Linked DNA regions of Macaca fascicularis. The main gene of each other region encodes a partner of the protein of the gene in region 2 in a complex. Links are inferred from orthologs where the notes say so. Each region holds a gene or a part of one and is shown on either strand. Other genes may lie near its edges.

Region 1 (7,895 bases), on a different chromosome or scaffold from region 2:
GTTTTAATTTGGAGGCGGGTCTCGCTCTGTCACCCAGGGTGGTCCTGAACCCCACCCCTAAGCGATCCTCTTGCCTTGACCTCCAGTAGTGCTAGGATCTGGGGCGTGACCCCCGTGCCTGCCGGCCTTCTGAGTGTGTTAGGCATGTAGACTCTTCCATCCTTCCACTCCCGCCGCAGCGGCTGCCACCATCCTACGCGGAGCCGGGGCTCAGAGGCGGCGTTGCTCACCCGAGCTCACCCAGCAGGGACACCGTGAGGGGCTGCAGGCGTGCAGGCGGCTGTGGAGTGTGGGTCTGTGGGTGGGGCCGTCAGGCAGCAGGGCACAGGCCAGACCGGGCGGGGGCAGTGCACGGAATCCTCCAGAAGCTGGTTCAGGGAGAGGAAGCCACGGCTCAGCGGGTCAGCTGAGGCTGCTGAGAACACGCCCCTCACCCCACCCCCGCCCCCACCCACCTCCCCAGCAGCCTCTTCTGGGGCCCCCATTCCCATCTCTATCTGCCCGATGGGCCCCCGCACCCACGGAGCCAAGCCCGTCACCCCCACCTCCGGCACAAAATCTGGGGCTGGAGCGAAGCAGGGACGCCCGCCTGCCATGACCGTGGCCAGAACAGCCACTTGGTGCTCAGAGCCTCGGCGGCTGCGGGCCCGGTTTCCGGCCTCCGCCCTGGAGAAGGGAAGTGTTTTCCTGGCAGACAAGAGCCCAGGCCTTTGCCGACGAGCGCGAATGGACCCTGGAGCGGCCGGACGTGTGGGCTGGTGCTCCTCAGAAGCCACTAATGAGCCCCTGTCGAGAGGCCCCGATGGCTCCTGGGGCCTGCAGGTGTTTACGTCAACTGCCCATTGTGGCCGCAGGGGCGGTAAAGGTGAAGAGGGCGGCTGCCCGTTCCTTCCCCCGGGCCTCGTCGTGAGTCACCAGGCAGCTGAAGAGGGCCACTGCCGTTCCTTCCCCCAGGCCTCGTTCCTTCCCCCGGGCCTTGTGGTGAGTCACCCTGCAGTTTGAGCTGCGCTGGTTCCTATGGCAGCACCTGGCGCCACCCCGCGTGGCAGGCAGGGCTGCAAGGACCCTCAGCTTCACTGCCTGGTACCCCCGCTGGGCACATCTGTGTCCACCGTCTGCCCACAACCAGACCACCGGGTAGTCCCGGGCTCCAACGCTCCTCCTCGTCTCCTGCAGCCGTCCTCACCTGCTGGCCCAGCTCCTACTCGTCCCTAAGAGCCACGTCTCACATGCACGCCACAGCCTTTCTTGGGTCTCACGTCCCTGCAGCTGGGGGCCACTGAGACACAGTCCCTGCCACACCCATCTCTTCCCCCACCACCCCACGTGCCCACCATGCCAGGCTTCAGTCCCTGCGGCACCCAGCTCTTCACCCACTGCCCCACGTCCGCACTTAGCAGCTTAGCCTCCCCCTGCTTCAAGTCCCCTGTCATTTAGAAATGCTGACCGCAGGCCGGGCGCGGTGGCTCACGCCTGTAATCCCAGCACTTTGGGAGGCCGAGGCGGGCGGATCACAAGGTCAGGAGATGGAGACCACAGTGAAACCCCGTCTCTACTAAAAATACAAAAAATTAGCCGGGCGCGGTGGCGGGCGCCTATACTCCCAGCTACTCAGGAGGCTGAGGCAGGAGAATGGCGTGAACCCGGGAGGCGGAGCTTGCAGTGAGCCGAGATCGCGCCACTGCGCTCCAGCCTGGGCAACAGCGTGAGACTCCGTCTCAAAAAAAAAAAAAAAGAAATGCTGACCGCAGCCGTCAGTTGGATGGAGGAGGGGACGTAAATCGGGCTGTGAGGGCGCCCCGGGCACCAGCTGGGCGTGTGCTCATCATGGCGGCTGCTTCACTCAGTGCTAACCCTGTCTTTCCTGTGAGAGGCTCAGTTCCACAGGGCCAGCCGCCCTGACCACTGTGTGCCCTCCCCACATCTCAGCCACTCTCTGGGCCTCAGTGTCCCCAGGGGAATGCTGCTCATGGGACCCCTGTACAGGTTTGCAGGAGGCCCAGGCTCTGTGACTGTGATACCCTGTCCAGAGCAGAGACCTCATGACGCGGGTGGCACAGAGCAGCCGTGTGGTCGTCGGCTTCAGCCAAGTAACAAGCCAGCCCCAAACCGAGCAGCTCAGACCAGCAGCCCCGCTCTGGTTCTGTGGCTGGGCTGCCTCAGCTGCTCCGTCCTGGTTCCTGTGTGTCTGCGGTCAGCAGCCGAGGTGGCGTCGCCCGTCCACTGGCCCCACATGCCCCAGCAGGCCGGCTCTGGCTGCCCTCAGTGTCCCACAAGCAGCAAGAGCAGGACCCCCCGCACATGCTCTCTGGGTCTCCGTTTTCTGTTGTTGTTGTTTTGTTTTTGACTTAGGCTCTCCCTATGTAGCCCAGGCTGGAATGCAGTGGCTTGATCTCCGCCCACTGCAGCCTCATCCTCCTGGGCTCGAGCAATCCTCCTGCCTCAGCCTCCTGAGTTGCTGGGACTACAGGCACGCGCAGGCGTGCACCACCACACCCAGCTAACGTTTGTTGTACTTTTTGTAGAGATGGGGTCTTGCTGTGTTGCCCAGGCTGGTCTTGAACTCCTGGGCTCAAGCCATCCTCTGGCCTTGGCTTCCCAAAGTGCTGGGACGGCAGGTGTGAGCCCAGGTGCCCGGCCGTGTCACACTGGCTACCACTCCGCCCGAGATGGTAGCAGAAGCCTCCGCCCTGCTGGGAGGAGCCGCGTCTTCACACACAGGCTGCCAGGCAGCAGATCTGTGGGTGCGACCGTCCCGCGTGGCTTTATTGTGTGGGGAGCCTGGAACTGTAGTTGAGGAGGGATGGAAGTCCCAGCTCAGCTGACTGAGGCCGAGAGAGTGTTAGGGTTTGCATGGCCGCAGGTCTGGGGGGGCGTCGTCTCCCCACTGTCCGCTCCAGCGAGGGGGCGAGACGGCGCCACCCCACAGGTGTCCACGAAATCCCGGGGCCGCATCCCGTTGGCCCGCCGTGGGTCACGTGCCCGTCCCGGAACCAATCAGTGGCCGAGGCACAGAGCGCTCGGATTGGCCGGGCCTCGTCTTCCGGGCGTGGGAGCGGGGCTGCGTGAGACGCGTGAGACCCGGGAGGGGCCCTGGGCGGTTGCACGCCGGGTCCTGCTGGGCTCCTGCGGCTGCTCCTCAGCCTGTCTTCACTCCGTTACCTTCCTGTTTTCCTGCCCCTGCTTTTTCAGTTGGCGACAAACAGCCCACGATTCTCAAATGGCGGATCCTGTCGGCCACCAACGATCTGGACCGTGTGTCGGCCGTGGCGCTGCCCAAGCTGCCCATCTCGCTCACCAACACCGACCTCAAGGTGGCCAGCGACACGCAGTTCTACCCTGGCCTCGGTACGGTGGAGCCAGCGGCAGCCACTCGGCCTCAGCTCACACCGGGGGAGGTGGGCCCTGAGCGCAGGCCATGGGGCCGTGGGAGCTCACACCAAGGGAGGCGGGCCCTGAGCGCAGGCCACGGGGCCGTGGGAGCTCACAGCGGGGGAGGTGGGCCCTGAGCGCAGGCCATGGGGCCGTGGGAGCTCACAGCGGGGGAGGTGGGCCCTGAGCGCAGGCCACGGGGCCGTGGGAGCTCACAGCGGGGGAGGTGGGCCCTGAGCGCAGGCCACGGGGGCCGTGGGAGCTCACAGCGGGGGAGGTGGGCCCTGAGCGCAGGCCATGGGGTCGCGGGAACTCACAGCGGGGGAGGTGGGCCCTGAGCGCAGGCCATGGGGCCGTGGGAGCTCACACCACGGGAGGCGGGCCCTGAGCCCAGGCCGCGGGGCCGTGGGAGCTCATAGGGGGGGAGGTGGGCCCTGAGCCCAGGCCGCGGGGCCGTGGGAGCTCGGCCTCCTGGGCTCTGATGGGTTCCCGATTAGGAGGCAGACGTCATCTTTCGGGATCTATGAGGCTGGCAGACAGATTCAGTGCTCTTTAATTTGTAAAGGGAGCAAATCAACAAGGGAGCAGGGGGAACTTGGGGGCGGAACTCCTTTCCGGGTAGGCTGCTCCTCTCCTCTCCGCGCTGCAGCAGCTGTAATGTGGGTCCTGAGCTCAAACGGTGGCGTCCATGCCCCTGAGTGAGTCTGTGCGCTCTTCAGTGCTGACCCTGTTTGCTCAGCTGTGAAGTGGGGACAAGTCCGCTCTAGCTCAGGTCCCTTCCTTCCCCCAGCTCCCATTCTCCCCTGGTTCCCTGGAAAGAGCGTTGATCAAAACCCGCTCAGGGTTCAGGACTGTTCTCGGAGCCTGCAGAGAGGTTCAGGGGATGCGGTTCTGTGCTCCAAAGCCCTCGGTTTATGCTCCATTTTCCAGCCTCTCTACTGCAGCGACTACTTTTATGTCCTCTTTTCCATGAGCTTTGGGCTCTGGACCCCACCTCCCCCTGGCCTTCGTACAGAGGCAGACCCCAGTGTGACTGACAGCCCCAGCCCACCACCCTAAGATGCCTCTCTTTGGGATGCCAGGAGCCCCACCCCTTGGTCCCCCACCCCTTGGTCCCCCACCTGTAGCGCCCTCGTCCCCTGTGCTCCTTGAGTGGTACATCAGCAAGGACATGGCCCCGGCTGTGAGGGGCTGGGAGCTGTGTGGCCAAGGCTGCTGACTCCTGCTCCCCTGGTGCTCAGGGGCTTTGTAACTGAAGAAGGAGCAGCTGGGGGCACGGGTACTGGATGCCGGGGAGGGCTCATCCCCTAAATGGGCAGCCTTGGCTCTCCACACGCTGCAGAGCAGGCGGCCCTCCCCAGGTGGGCGTGTCCAGGGCCCTGCCCATGCCTAAGGAGTGCCCGTGCCCCGCAGGGCTGGCCTTGGCCTTCCACGACGGCAGCGTCCACATCGTGCATCGGCTCTCACTGCAGACCATGGCCGTCTTCTACAGCTCCGCAACCCCGAGGCCCGTGGACGAGCCGGCCATCAAGCGCCCCCGCACCGCAGGCCCTGCCGTCCACTTTAAGGCCATGCAGCTCTCCTGGACCTCACTGGCCCTCGTGGGCATTGACAACCAGGGGAAGGTGAGCTGCTTGTGTGTGTGGGGCTGGGACTGATGGGGTGCCAGAGGGAGGTGCCCCCCTGGGGAAGGGACTGCAGGTGCAAGCCCCTCGCCAGCCCCTGCCTGGGCTGCCTCGTCTGTGCCATGGGTTCATCTCGATGAGCGAGGTCACTGGGGTGGCTCACAGCGCATATTAGGAGCTTCCTAGCTAGGAGCTGTTGAGAGGACCGCCTTTCACGAGGTGGACTCCTCAGTTAAAGGAGACGAGTGTAAGCCTGGCTCCGCGTCCAGCGCAGTCAGGGCTCGGGAAGTTTTCCTTCCCTGTTCCCAGAGGCGTTGTCCATGACCCTGACAGAAAGGTGCAGGCAGTACAGACACATGCACGCACACGGGCCGGCACATGGGGGCGTGCACATACAGGCCCACAAGCATGGCTGGCCCACCGGTCCACTGGCCCATGGGTCCATCTGGAGCCTTCAAAGTAGGCTCAATAAAGGGCCTCGCTTGCCTCATTGCTTCCAGAGTGGGCCCAGAGCCACCTGGAGAGGAGCTGCAGGTCCCTTCCCCGCCCCCGACAACACGCACCTCAGCCCCAGGGCCCCATGCCCCTCCCGGCTGAGGTTGCAGCCCCACGTCTCACCCGGCTTTCCCTGGGCTCTGTCTCTGGCAGCTGAGCGTGCTCCGCCTCTCGCCCTCCATGGGCCACCCGCTGGAGGTGGGACTGGCACTGCGGCACCTGCTTTTCCTGCTGGAGTACTGCATGGTAACCGGCTATGACTGGTGGGACATCCTGCTGCACGTGCAGCCCAGCATGGTGCAGAGCCTGGTGGAGAAGCTGCATGAGGAGTACACGCGCCAGACCGCTGCCCTGCAGCAGGTGAGGTCATGTGGCAGGTGGGGCCCCGTGGCAGGTGGGGGCGGCCCTGCAGCAGGCAGGGGCCCCGTGGTCAGTGAGGGGCCAGCAGCAGGGAGGGGGGTCCCCGCATTAGTTGTGGAGGTCTCTGCGGCAGACGTGGGGGTCCCAGCAGCAGACGGGGTTGTGGCAGCTGTGGTGGGTCCCTGTGGCAGATCAGGGGCTCTGTGGCAGGCGGAGGGCAGGAGGGGCAGGTAGCCTGCAGCAGGTGAGGCTGTGCGTGGGGTGTGCACCCAGAGGCCCGTCCAGTAAAGCTGCACCTCAGAGGAGCACTTTGTTTCCCTCCTCACTTGGGAAGTTTCCTCTGTAACACGTTAAGCCTCACAGGTAAGGCCTGATGCTCCCTGGATGACTCCCTTCTCCAGTGTTCCCAGTCTGGGGGTGTCTTTCTAAGTCATCCTCTCAGAGTGAGAGAGGGTTCCAGGGTGCACACCAGGCAGGCCCATGGTGTGAGGCCTCAGCTAGCACAGTCAGAAGATGAACACACAGAGACCCGCCCATTGGAAGGAGAGCAGAGAGCGGACACGGAGGCCTGGCCGTTGGAAGGAGAGGAGAGGGCGGACACGGAGGCCTGGCCGTTGGAAGGAGAGGAGAGGGCGGACACGGAGGCCTGGCCGTTGGAAGGAGAGGAGGGGACAGAGAGGCCCGCCCATCAGAAAGGTCTCTTGCAGTGATGTCGTCATGCGCCTGCAATCTCAGAGTGTCTGCGAAAGACCTCAGATCTAACGAGCTCAACTGGCAGCTGCACATGGGACCAGCCCTCTAAACCTTAGTCGTGTTCCTCTATGCCGCCAAGAACCAATACGAAGATAAAATGGGAAAAATATCCCACTCACAGCACAGCCTGCTGAGAGACACGGGAGACCCAGGCAGGGGGCTGTGATGCTAAACCCCGGCATGGCTGGGGTCCGTAGCCAGTGACGGGGCTTGTGATGGCGAGGCCTCACTCTCTCCCTCCTTGGGCCCTCACTGCGTGCCAAGTGTTTCATTTTTGTTTTTTAGTTATTTCTATTTTTTGTAGAGATGAGGTCTTCTGTGTTACACAGGCTCTGCAACTCCCAGCCTCCAGGAATCCTCCAACCTCAGCCTCCCAAAATGCTTCAACTCATTAATTCTGTCCTGCTAGACCAGGGTCTCCCTGCAGGCACCGCGGACATCGGGGGCTGGAGCAGCCTCTGGGGTGGGGGGCATCCTGTTGAGCAGCCTCCCTGGCCTCCACTTGTCAGGGGCACCCCCAGTGGTGAGAACTAGAAATGTCTGCAGACATCACCAGGACGCCCCCGCCGGGGCAGAGCTGCTCCCAGCTGAGATCCGGCACCTGGTCCTGTGTGGCCGGTCCTCTGCGCCCGTTTTGCCACGAGGTTGCTGAGGTGCAGAGGTGAAGCAGCTTTCCCAGCTCACAGAACACCTGGGCTCAGGGTCGGACTGCTCTTCTCCCCACTGGAGCCTTGGCGGGCGCCTCTGCCACAGCCCTTTGGGGTGACCCGGCTTCCTGCCCCCAGGTTCTCTCCACCCGGATCCTGGCCATGAAGGCCTCGCTCTGCAAGCTGTCGCCCTGCACGGTGACCCGCGTGTGCGACTACCACACCAAGCTCTTCCTCATCGCCATCAGCTCCACCCTGAAGTCGCTGCTGCGCCCCCACTTCCTCAACACGCCCGACAAGAGCCCCGGCGACCGGCTGACCGAGATCTGCGCCAAGATCACTGACGTCGGTGGGTCCTGTCCCGCGCCCAGGGCCTTGAGGCTCTTTTCATTTTTTTTTTTTTTTATTTATTTATTGTTTTTACTCTTGAGATAGGGTCTTAGCTGGAGTGCAGTGTCACACTCAGCTCATTGCAGCCTCAGCCTCAGCCTCCGCCTCCCTGGTTCAAGTGATTCTCCTGCCTCAGCCTCCCAAGTAGCTGGGATTACAGGCCTGCACCATCACGCCCGGCTGATTTTTGTATTTTTAGTAGAGATGGGGTTTCACCATGTTGGCCAGGCTGGTCTCGAACTCCTGACCTCAA
Region 2 (8,644 bases):
CCAGCACTTTGGGAAGTTAAGATGGAAGGATCACTTCAGTTCATGAGTTCAAGACCAGCCTGGTCAACATAGCAAGACCCCATCTCTACTTAAAAAGAAAAAAAGAAAAAAAAATTAAACATTATATATCTCTCTTTTTTTTTTTTTTTCTTTTTTTTTGAGACGGAGTCTCGCTCTGTCGCCCAGGCTGGAGTACAGTGGCCGCATCTCAGCTCACTGCAAGCTCCGCCTCCCGGGTCTATGCCATTCTCCTGCCTCAGCCTCCCGAGTAGCTGGGACTACAGGCGCCCGCCACCTCACCCGGCTACTTTTTTGTATTTTTTAGTAGAGACGGGGTTTCACCGTATTTAGCCAGGCTGGTCTCGATCTCCTGACCTTGTGATCCGCCCGTCTCGGCCTCCCAAAGTGCTGGGATTACAGGCTTGAGCCACCGCGCCCGGCCTCATTATATATCTCTTAAAATTATTTTTGATTCTACAAAGTGTATTTCATGGAATCTTTAAGAAAGATCTGTTAAGTCTGTTTAGATGCTCTGCCAACTTTATTAAGACCAAAGCCCCTAAGTCAGCATTATAGTTTTATTGATAATTATGTTTTATCAACAAATATATTTTATCAATAGTTTATAGTTTTTCAACAATGTTAGTCTCCAAACATTCTAGTAAGGTGATTTTTATGACCACTTAATGATTAAAATAACTCAATACTATATCCAAGTCAATAAAAGAAAATGGAGCTTTCAGCATGATTAGAAGGCATTATCTTGCTAAAACTACTATATATACATACATCATGTATACGTATATGTATATACATACACACATTTTACACATTTAGAACTACATTAAATACAAAGAACTAGGGACTAGACTCTGCAGCAGGCATCTCATTAGAAAAACTACAAAAGCTGGAAAGCTTTCTTGAAGAAATGCAATCACTCTCAAAAATAGTAATTATCACGGGAGAGTATGTTCATTAGAATGTGAAAAGCAATTATCAAAACATACAAATGTAACACGTACATTCCTACATAAATGTTGGTCTTACTAAGTACCAGTTCAAGATACAGACACCTAGAATACATTCTATCCAGAAATAAAATAGATCCTATAGGTCATAGGGACAATAACAAAAACTTCAGAGTACTCAATTTCAAACAAGAACTTTAAAAAAATTATCTAGAAATCCTAAATTTATCTATCAAAAATCATTATCAAACTATCTTACCGAAGTGTTCGGAACCTTATAGCATACAACCAATCATTTACATTCCTATTATCTAAGATTCAGTAAATACTGACTTTGACAGTTCAAAGCTTCAGTAATTATTATGAAAAGCTATAGTTTCTCTTTCTAAAGTAGCATTTGGTCCTAAAAGTCAAGAAAATAAGGAAGTAATCACATTGATTTGCTCATAATAAAATTGTTTGTGTAACCTTTTAGATTATGATCCCATGTCCTATAAAAGCTAAACAAGTTGGCACTTGTCTCTTATTGAGTATGTGACAGAACAGTATATGAGTCACTTTCCAAAAATAACTAAATTAACATATGCCTTCATATGTTAATCAAACAGCACAAATGACAGTAACAAAATACTTACATACCTTAAAACATGCGCGCACACACACACACAAACACAAGGATAGTTACATTTCCAGTACTTTTAGAATCATCTGCCCATTTAATGCAAAAGACTCAACTTTGACAGTGGCTGAAGTGACTCAAAAGTTACATCTGGCTTCAAAACTATTACATGACTTTGTTAGGAACTCTGTTTCCTGATTCCATTTTTTGAGATTAATGTGGCATGCCTTCCTTGGACCCTAACTACCCGTGAGAAATTAAGAAGAGAGGTGGTAAAAGGAGAAAGTCATTCAAGCCTAAAAAACCCAGCTATAACATGGATAATTTGAGTAAAATAAAATAATCATGGTGAAATAAAACATGAAGCTCAATTTTTATCTGGCCTCCTACCTAAGTGTCCCACAATAACAAACTTACTTTGTAATACAAATGATATTCTGGGAGAAGTATACAATGTTGCTGTATCATTAATTAGAAATGGAAAGTTTCTTTCACCTGATAAGTCATGGTGAATAAGGTCAGCAAAATTGGGGTCTTCACCCCACCAAAATATCCACAATTCTCTTCTTCCAGGTCTTTGATCTCGCCGCCAAACACCAAGTACATCTGCCTTAAGGCAGCGACTAAAACTGCTCAAAATGGGGTCTTCTTCTGTCACAGGAAACAGAATAGGGGCAGAAGTTGGGCCTTGCCATACATATTTTTTCCATTTAATTCCCGTCAAGTCAGCCTGAATAAAAGAAAGCATGATGTTTTATTATTGCATATTCACTCAAATTCACAAAAGTACTCCATACGATGTCTCCTATTTCGTTAAGACATTACAATTTTTCAATATATGCTTGAGCTATTGAATGCAAATTAGAACCAAAAAAAAATGACTTTATAATTCAACAACCAACAATTTTAGGGAGAAGAACACAGTTAAAAATAAATACCACCATGTCACTGAATAGCAAGCAAATATGTACTCCAAGTAGAAATAAAAGAAACTGAACGAAGTTAAATATAGACAGACACACACACTTCAATATACAAACAGAGTACATTTTTCTCTGTCCTAAATGGTCACATTTATTCATTGGTGTCAAACGTTTAACTGAAAATCAATTATTAAAGACCCTATCACGGGTTTTTATTCCACATTTACAGAAGTAATGTCTCTAATGAAAAGACATCTGAACAAGTCCTGAAAAAAATCTATGTTAATTCTTCACACATACCCCTGTCGGAAAAGTCAAATAGCTGCTCACAAAGAACTGTCAGATTTGTGCTAGTCTATCTTCAAAGAGCCTGATCCTAAAAGTATCAAAAATAGACTGAGTTGGATAAGATAGAATACAAAACCTGGTGTATGTCTTATTATACGTGAAGAGATGCTGATTAATGGACATTGAAAAGAAAAACATACTGTAGAAGAGGATAGAGTATGAAAGATCTCAATTTAGCATCCAGAAAGAAATTCAAGAGGAATTCAATAATTTAATCTAACTTAAAGGTGCAAAGCATAAGGTGCCAAAAATGAAACTGCTGATACATGACTGGCAGTTTACACTTGCCAACTAGTTGTGCTCCGCCCACTTAACTCACTTATTACCTATCATATACTCTTAATATTTCTCATAGCACAAAGGAGAAAATGAAAAAATAAAGTCACCCAAACTTAAAGTCATTGATGAAGCTCAGCTACTGTCCCACACAGGCCAAGTTATTTGCAACAGTTGGTACTTTTGAAAGTCTCAACTGTTGGATGTTACCAGACCTGGGCTAACCTACACAATGGTCATCCCTACACCCAGCTTCTCTGGACTTTTCATTTCAATCAAACAAGGGAGCAGCCTGCTCAAAACATTCTGAAAAAGCAAGCAAAACACAATAAATATAGAAACAGTGCAAAACCACAGCACCTCGTCCATTAGCCCCCTTCACTCGCACAAAAAAAATTATGTTCTAATAAAAGCAAGATGGCTAGAAATTGTCAAAAATGGCAAACTGTTTTCAAAGTTTAAAAAGAAAACATATGAAATGGCACCTACTGGTTTTTACAGAGAGATCTTAAGTCACCCAAGGAAGAAACTAACCTTGCGTTAGTTTGACTCATACAAAAAAAATGTAAAACGAAGACAGGTTTCTGGGGCATAAGTTCTGGGGTCCTGTTTACATGGGGAAACCAAATTAAAAGGATGAGACATAAAGGCGGTGGGGAGCAGGGGCAATAATGGAAAGTGTGAAGCTGGGATACAAGGCCAATAAGCAGAAAAGCAACAGTTAAGAGAGAGAGAAAGGTTACTGTCCTGCCAGATAAGGAGCTCAAGTTGAGGACGAGACTACGGTGAAGAGGAGAGTCCGAAAGAAGACGAGAAAAAATGCCAACACTCCCCAAACAGGGCCCGGGACCGTGGGAGAGCGAACGCAGTCTCCCGGGGTTGGCCGCGGAGCTTCGCAGGGCGCCGGCTCCGGCTGGGCCTCGCCCGGGGACTCGGGCATCTGGACCAGACCCGGCCCCCTCCCCCACGGCCCAAGGGCGCACCTCACGGCCCCCCTCCCTCGGCGCCCGCCGGCCCCGGCACTCACCAGGCAGAAGAGGTTACAGTGACAATCTTCCAGGCTGGCCCCGTTCGGCACGAAGGAGGCACTCATCGTCCCTCACAGCAGCCGCCGCCGGCGCCACAACCCACCATCCGCCATTACCGCCGCCTCCGACCAGAGAGAGAAACACAGACACCGGGGAGGGCGTGGGGGGGTAGTGGTTGGGGGGGCGGTGGAAGAGGAGGCCGCCGGGCCGCCCGCCCTCCCCACCCACCCCCCCGCCGCCGCCGCTGCCGCCGCCGCGAGCAGCCCCCGCCGCCCGGCCGGCACCCAGCCGCCCGGGGCCGAGGGCCGGAGGCGGGAGGGCCGCGCCGCGCTCGCCTGGCGGGCCGGACTGCGGAGCCCGCAGACGCTCGTCCTTCTCTGGGAGACGGAGGGGATGTGTGCCCCTACCACAAGAAAAATAATAAATTACACAATAAATAATCAAAAACGAGTCCGAGACGGCAGAGCCCAAGCCCTGGAAGGTTCTCCCGGGCGGGGAGGCGCCCACACAGGGGCGGGAAGGGCGAGAACCGGGAGAGAAGCCCAGGCCCCCGGCCCGGCAGCGGCGATGTCCTTAAGCCCAGAGTCTCCTCAGCGGCGGAGGTGGTGGCGGCGTCTGCGGGCTCAGACCATTCTCTGGCTCTGTCTTCGTGTCGTCCCTGGGCCGAGCCGGCCTAACGTCTGCCCTCCTGCGGCCTCACCGGCTGGACGCCGTAGTCTCCCCCATTTTGTGGGCCCAGCGGGCGGTGTTTTTCCCCCTTTAATCCGAATTCACGGGTTTTCCCTTCGCTTTAATGGCGGCCACAGGGACCAGCTCGCCCTCTCTGCTCACCCATTGGCCGCCTTGAGGTCACGTGGGCCCGGGCTCCGTGGGGAGGGGGAGAGAGAAGTGAGCGAGGGAGGGCCGGGAAGCTTTCGGCCGAGGCGGTGAGCCCCGGGGACTGGGCAGCCAGCTGGTAGCCACTAACATAGCGCCACCTGCTGGGTGCCCTGGCCAGTGTAAAATGACCCGTGGCCCTGGCCCTGTCTTTGCGGGGAAATTTACAGTCCAGGAAGGTTCATTTCACAAATCAATGGGAATTACGTGGAAATCAGTTTGAGTTCTTTGGAAGAGAAAGTATTGACAAAAATTCCAAGACATTCTCATTTATTTCGCGAGGCCGCTGGGGTGCAGGCGCAAACCTCTGGATTTGGGAGTCAGACGATCTGGATGGGGACGAGACTCCACCACCTAAAAGTTGTGATATGAAGATAGAAACTTAAGAAACAAAATATTGCCCTGTAGTTAATAGACTGGGAATTAGAGCCACACTCCCTGGGTTCCAAGCTTGAGCAAATCACTTTCTGCTCTGTGTCTTGTTTCCTCGTCTGTAAAACGGGGAAAACATGCCCCTTACCCCACAAGCTTATTGTAATGAGTTAATGCAAATTAAGCAGGTAGCCCAGGGCCCTGCACAGATAAGCACTGTTAAGAGTTAACTATTATTGTTGTCATCGTTACCTCATACAGTTATTGTGAGAAGCAGGAGAACTAGTGTATGTAAAGGTCTCACTACGTTTTTGTTGTTGTTTACTTCTGTCTCTCTAGTGCCTAAAAAAAGATACCTAGCACACAGTAGGTGCTTCATATTTGTATATTTACAAATGAGTGGGTGGTAAGAAGTAAGAACCAAACAAAAGGTTCATTCTCTTTCCCATAAAACACCCAGTGCTTGGATGGGTTACACTTCAATATAAGAGTTCAAAACAGTTTCTCTGACGGTTTTAGGATTGCAAGACAGAAGAAGAAAAGATGATTCAGAAGTTAGAAATATCGGTGAGTTAGGACTTACTGTAATTTTATGTAACTATTACAGATACATAATTATGTATTATGTGTTATAGATACATAATTGTATCTGTAAACTGAATGGTAGAGTCTTCCATGTCACTTCTTCAGCCACGGAATGAAAAAGAAGTCCTTGCCGGGCGCGGTGGCTCACGCCTGTAATCCCAGCTCTCAGGGAGGCAGAGGCGGGAGGATAGCTTGAGCCCAGGAGTTCGAGACCTGCCTGGGTAATATAGCGAGACCCTGTTCTCCACAAAAAGGAAAAAAAAAAAAAAAAAAAAAGACAAAAAAAGAAAAAGAAGTCCTCATTCATCCACTTGTTCATCTGTAGTGGTGAAGAGCCCAGGTCTGAAGCCCAAAGGCTGGAGAAAAAGCTCTGCCCTGCACTAGTTAGTCTTAGACCAAATTTGACCTTAGATCAAATTAATTTCTCTTTCTCTCAGTTATTGTAAAATGGGGGTAATAAAAGTACTTTTCTCCTAAAGTGCCTGGTGAATTAAACAATGTAGATACAGTGCTTGCCACAGTGCTTACTTAATGTTAATTATTAATATAATTTTAAAAATCATTATTGAGAACCTGCTGGCTCAATTAAGTGTGTTCCTGCTCTGTGCTAGGCCTAGGATACAAATAGGAATAAGATACCTGCCTGTCCCTCAAGATTCCTGAAGAGAGGCACTAAAGGAAATATTTCCTACAGAATAAGGTAAAATACAATGGGGGTAATTGCTTAAATAAGGTATGTACCTACTATGGCATAATAAGTGCACTAGAAGAAGAGCATCAAAGTTAGGGAAGTTGTCATAAAGTAGGTAGCTTTTGAAATCAGATTTGAAGGATAAAATGAATTCTTATAAAGCCCTTTGAAGCAGTTAAATCTTATTAAACCTAATTCGAACCCAAAGTTCACATATCAAAGTCAATTATACAACCAGGACTAATTCAATCTAGGAACTCAAATCAACTAAGGTTGGTATCCTTTATAACTGAGTTCCAGCACCAGCAGACAGCAATCCCCAGATCCAATGAGGTAAGCGCTCCTCTGCCCATTTCCCTTTCCCTGAGAGACTCCTCAGATCTTTGTTCCACTGCTTTCCTCAGGCTGAAATACGCTCCTCGACCTCACATCTAAAGGGGTCTCCATTCTCCTTAGAAGTCTTGCCCTCCCGTTGCCCCCACCCCCTGACTTGAGCACCATCCTCAGGATTCCAGTGGCAGGTAGAATCTACCTGGAACCTACCAGGTAGGAGGTAACATTTGATTGACCTTTCTGTTTGAATGTCAATCTTTTCAAAAAGAAGAGGGAGACAAGGAGACAGAAGTGAAGAAGGGAGGAAGACCCAGAAGAAAAAGTCTGAGGATCGCAGAAGGGAGCAGGAGAGAGAGAAAGACAGGACTGAGAGAATGGAGAAGCAGAGTAGAATAGCGGGGATTCCAGTTGTGAGGGGAATGGAATCATGGGGAGAAGGGAAAGAGAAGAAATAAATATTTTCAGCCCACAAAGAACATACAGAAAGTAACCACTTACATTCTGTAAAAATGACATTTTGTGTGATTTAAAGAGTAATGGAGGCAGGGCGCAGTGGCTTACGCCTGTAATCCCAGTACTTTGGAAGGCCAAGGCGGGCGGATCACGAGGTCAGGAGATTGAGACCATCCTGGCTAACATGGTGAAAGCCCGTCTCTACTAAAAACACAAAAAGGCAGACACCTGTAGTCCCACCTACTCAGGAGGCTGAGGCAGGAGAATGGCGTGAACTCAGGAGGCGGAGCTTGCAGTGAGCCGAGATCACGCCACTGCACTCCAGCCTGGGCGACAGAGCGAGACTCCGTCTCAAAAAAAAAAAAAAAAAAAAAGAATAATGGAAATACGGACTTTGGGTATATCATCCTGGTGGGGTATGTTGATAATGAGGGAGACTGTGTATGTGTGGGGGCAGGAGTTATATGGGATTTTAAAAAAGTAATGGAAATAAATAAAAACATTACACACACGTTGTCGGCTGGGCACGCTGGGTCACGCCTGTAATCCCAGCACTTTGGGAAGCCGAAGCAGGAGGATCACCTGAGGTCAGGAGTTCAAGACCAGCCTGACCAACATGGAGAAACCCCGTCTCTACTAAAAATACAAAAATTAGTCAGGAGTGGTGGCACATGCCTGTAATCCCAGCTACTTGGGAGGCTGAGGCAGGATAATTGCTTGAACCCAGGGGGCGGAGGTAGCAGTAAGCCGAGATCACGCCACTACACTTCAGCCTGGGTGACAAGGTGAGACTCTATAAATAAATAAATAAAAACATTACACATTGTCAAAAGTTTGGCAGATACATAAAAGCATAAAGATGAAAATTTTAAATGTACATTACCCAAAAAAGTCCATATCATCACCATTCATAATCACTTTTTAACATTTGATGTATTGACTCTTCCTATATATATCTTTTTTCCTGCATGGTTGAGATCATACTATATGACCAATTAACTACACACATTTTTTAACCATCTAGTATGTGTCAGGTCATGTGTTGACAAAATAGAGCATACACAAGCAGTTCATAATCTTGCTTATAATGGCACTTGAACAGTTAGACCAACTGGGGTCAAAACTCCATACTTGGCCCAGCACGGTGGCTCATGCCTGTAATCCCAGCACTT

Evidence for each region.
Region 1: MED13 (region 2) and MED16 share a complex: the UniProt entries of both Homo sapiens proteins name them as parts of the mediator complex. The link is inferred for Macaca fascicularis from reciprocal best matches to the Homo sapiens genes MED13 and MED16.

The regions. Positions count from the first base shown.
Region 1 is NC_088393.1:1,441,662-1,449,556, reverse strand, and holds part of MED16 (mediator of RNA polymerase II transcription subunit 16), read left to right. Parts: exon of another isoform or gene 1-981; intron 982-3,192; coding exon 3,193-3,348; coding exon of another isoform or gene 3,349-3,398; intron 3,399-4,785; coding exon 4,786-4,997; intron 4,998-5,645; coding exon 5,646-5,852; intron 5,853-7,390; coding exon 7,391-7,601; intron 7,602-7,895. UniProt on the Homo sapiens protein: Component of the Mediator complex, a coactivator involved in the regulated transcription of nearly all RNA polymerase II-dependent genes.
Region 2 is NC_088390.1:46,525,694-46,534,337, forward strand, and holds the start of MED13 (mediator of RNA polymerase II transcription subunit 13), read right to left. Parts: upstream 4,305-8,644; 5' UTR 4,228-4,304; coding exon 4,162-4,227; intron 2,318-4,161; coding exon 2,083-2,317; intron 1-2,082. UniProt on the Homo sapiens protein: Component of the Mediator complex, a coactivator involved in the regulated transcription of nearly all RNA polymerase II-dependent genes.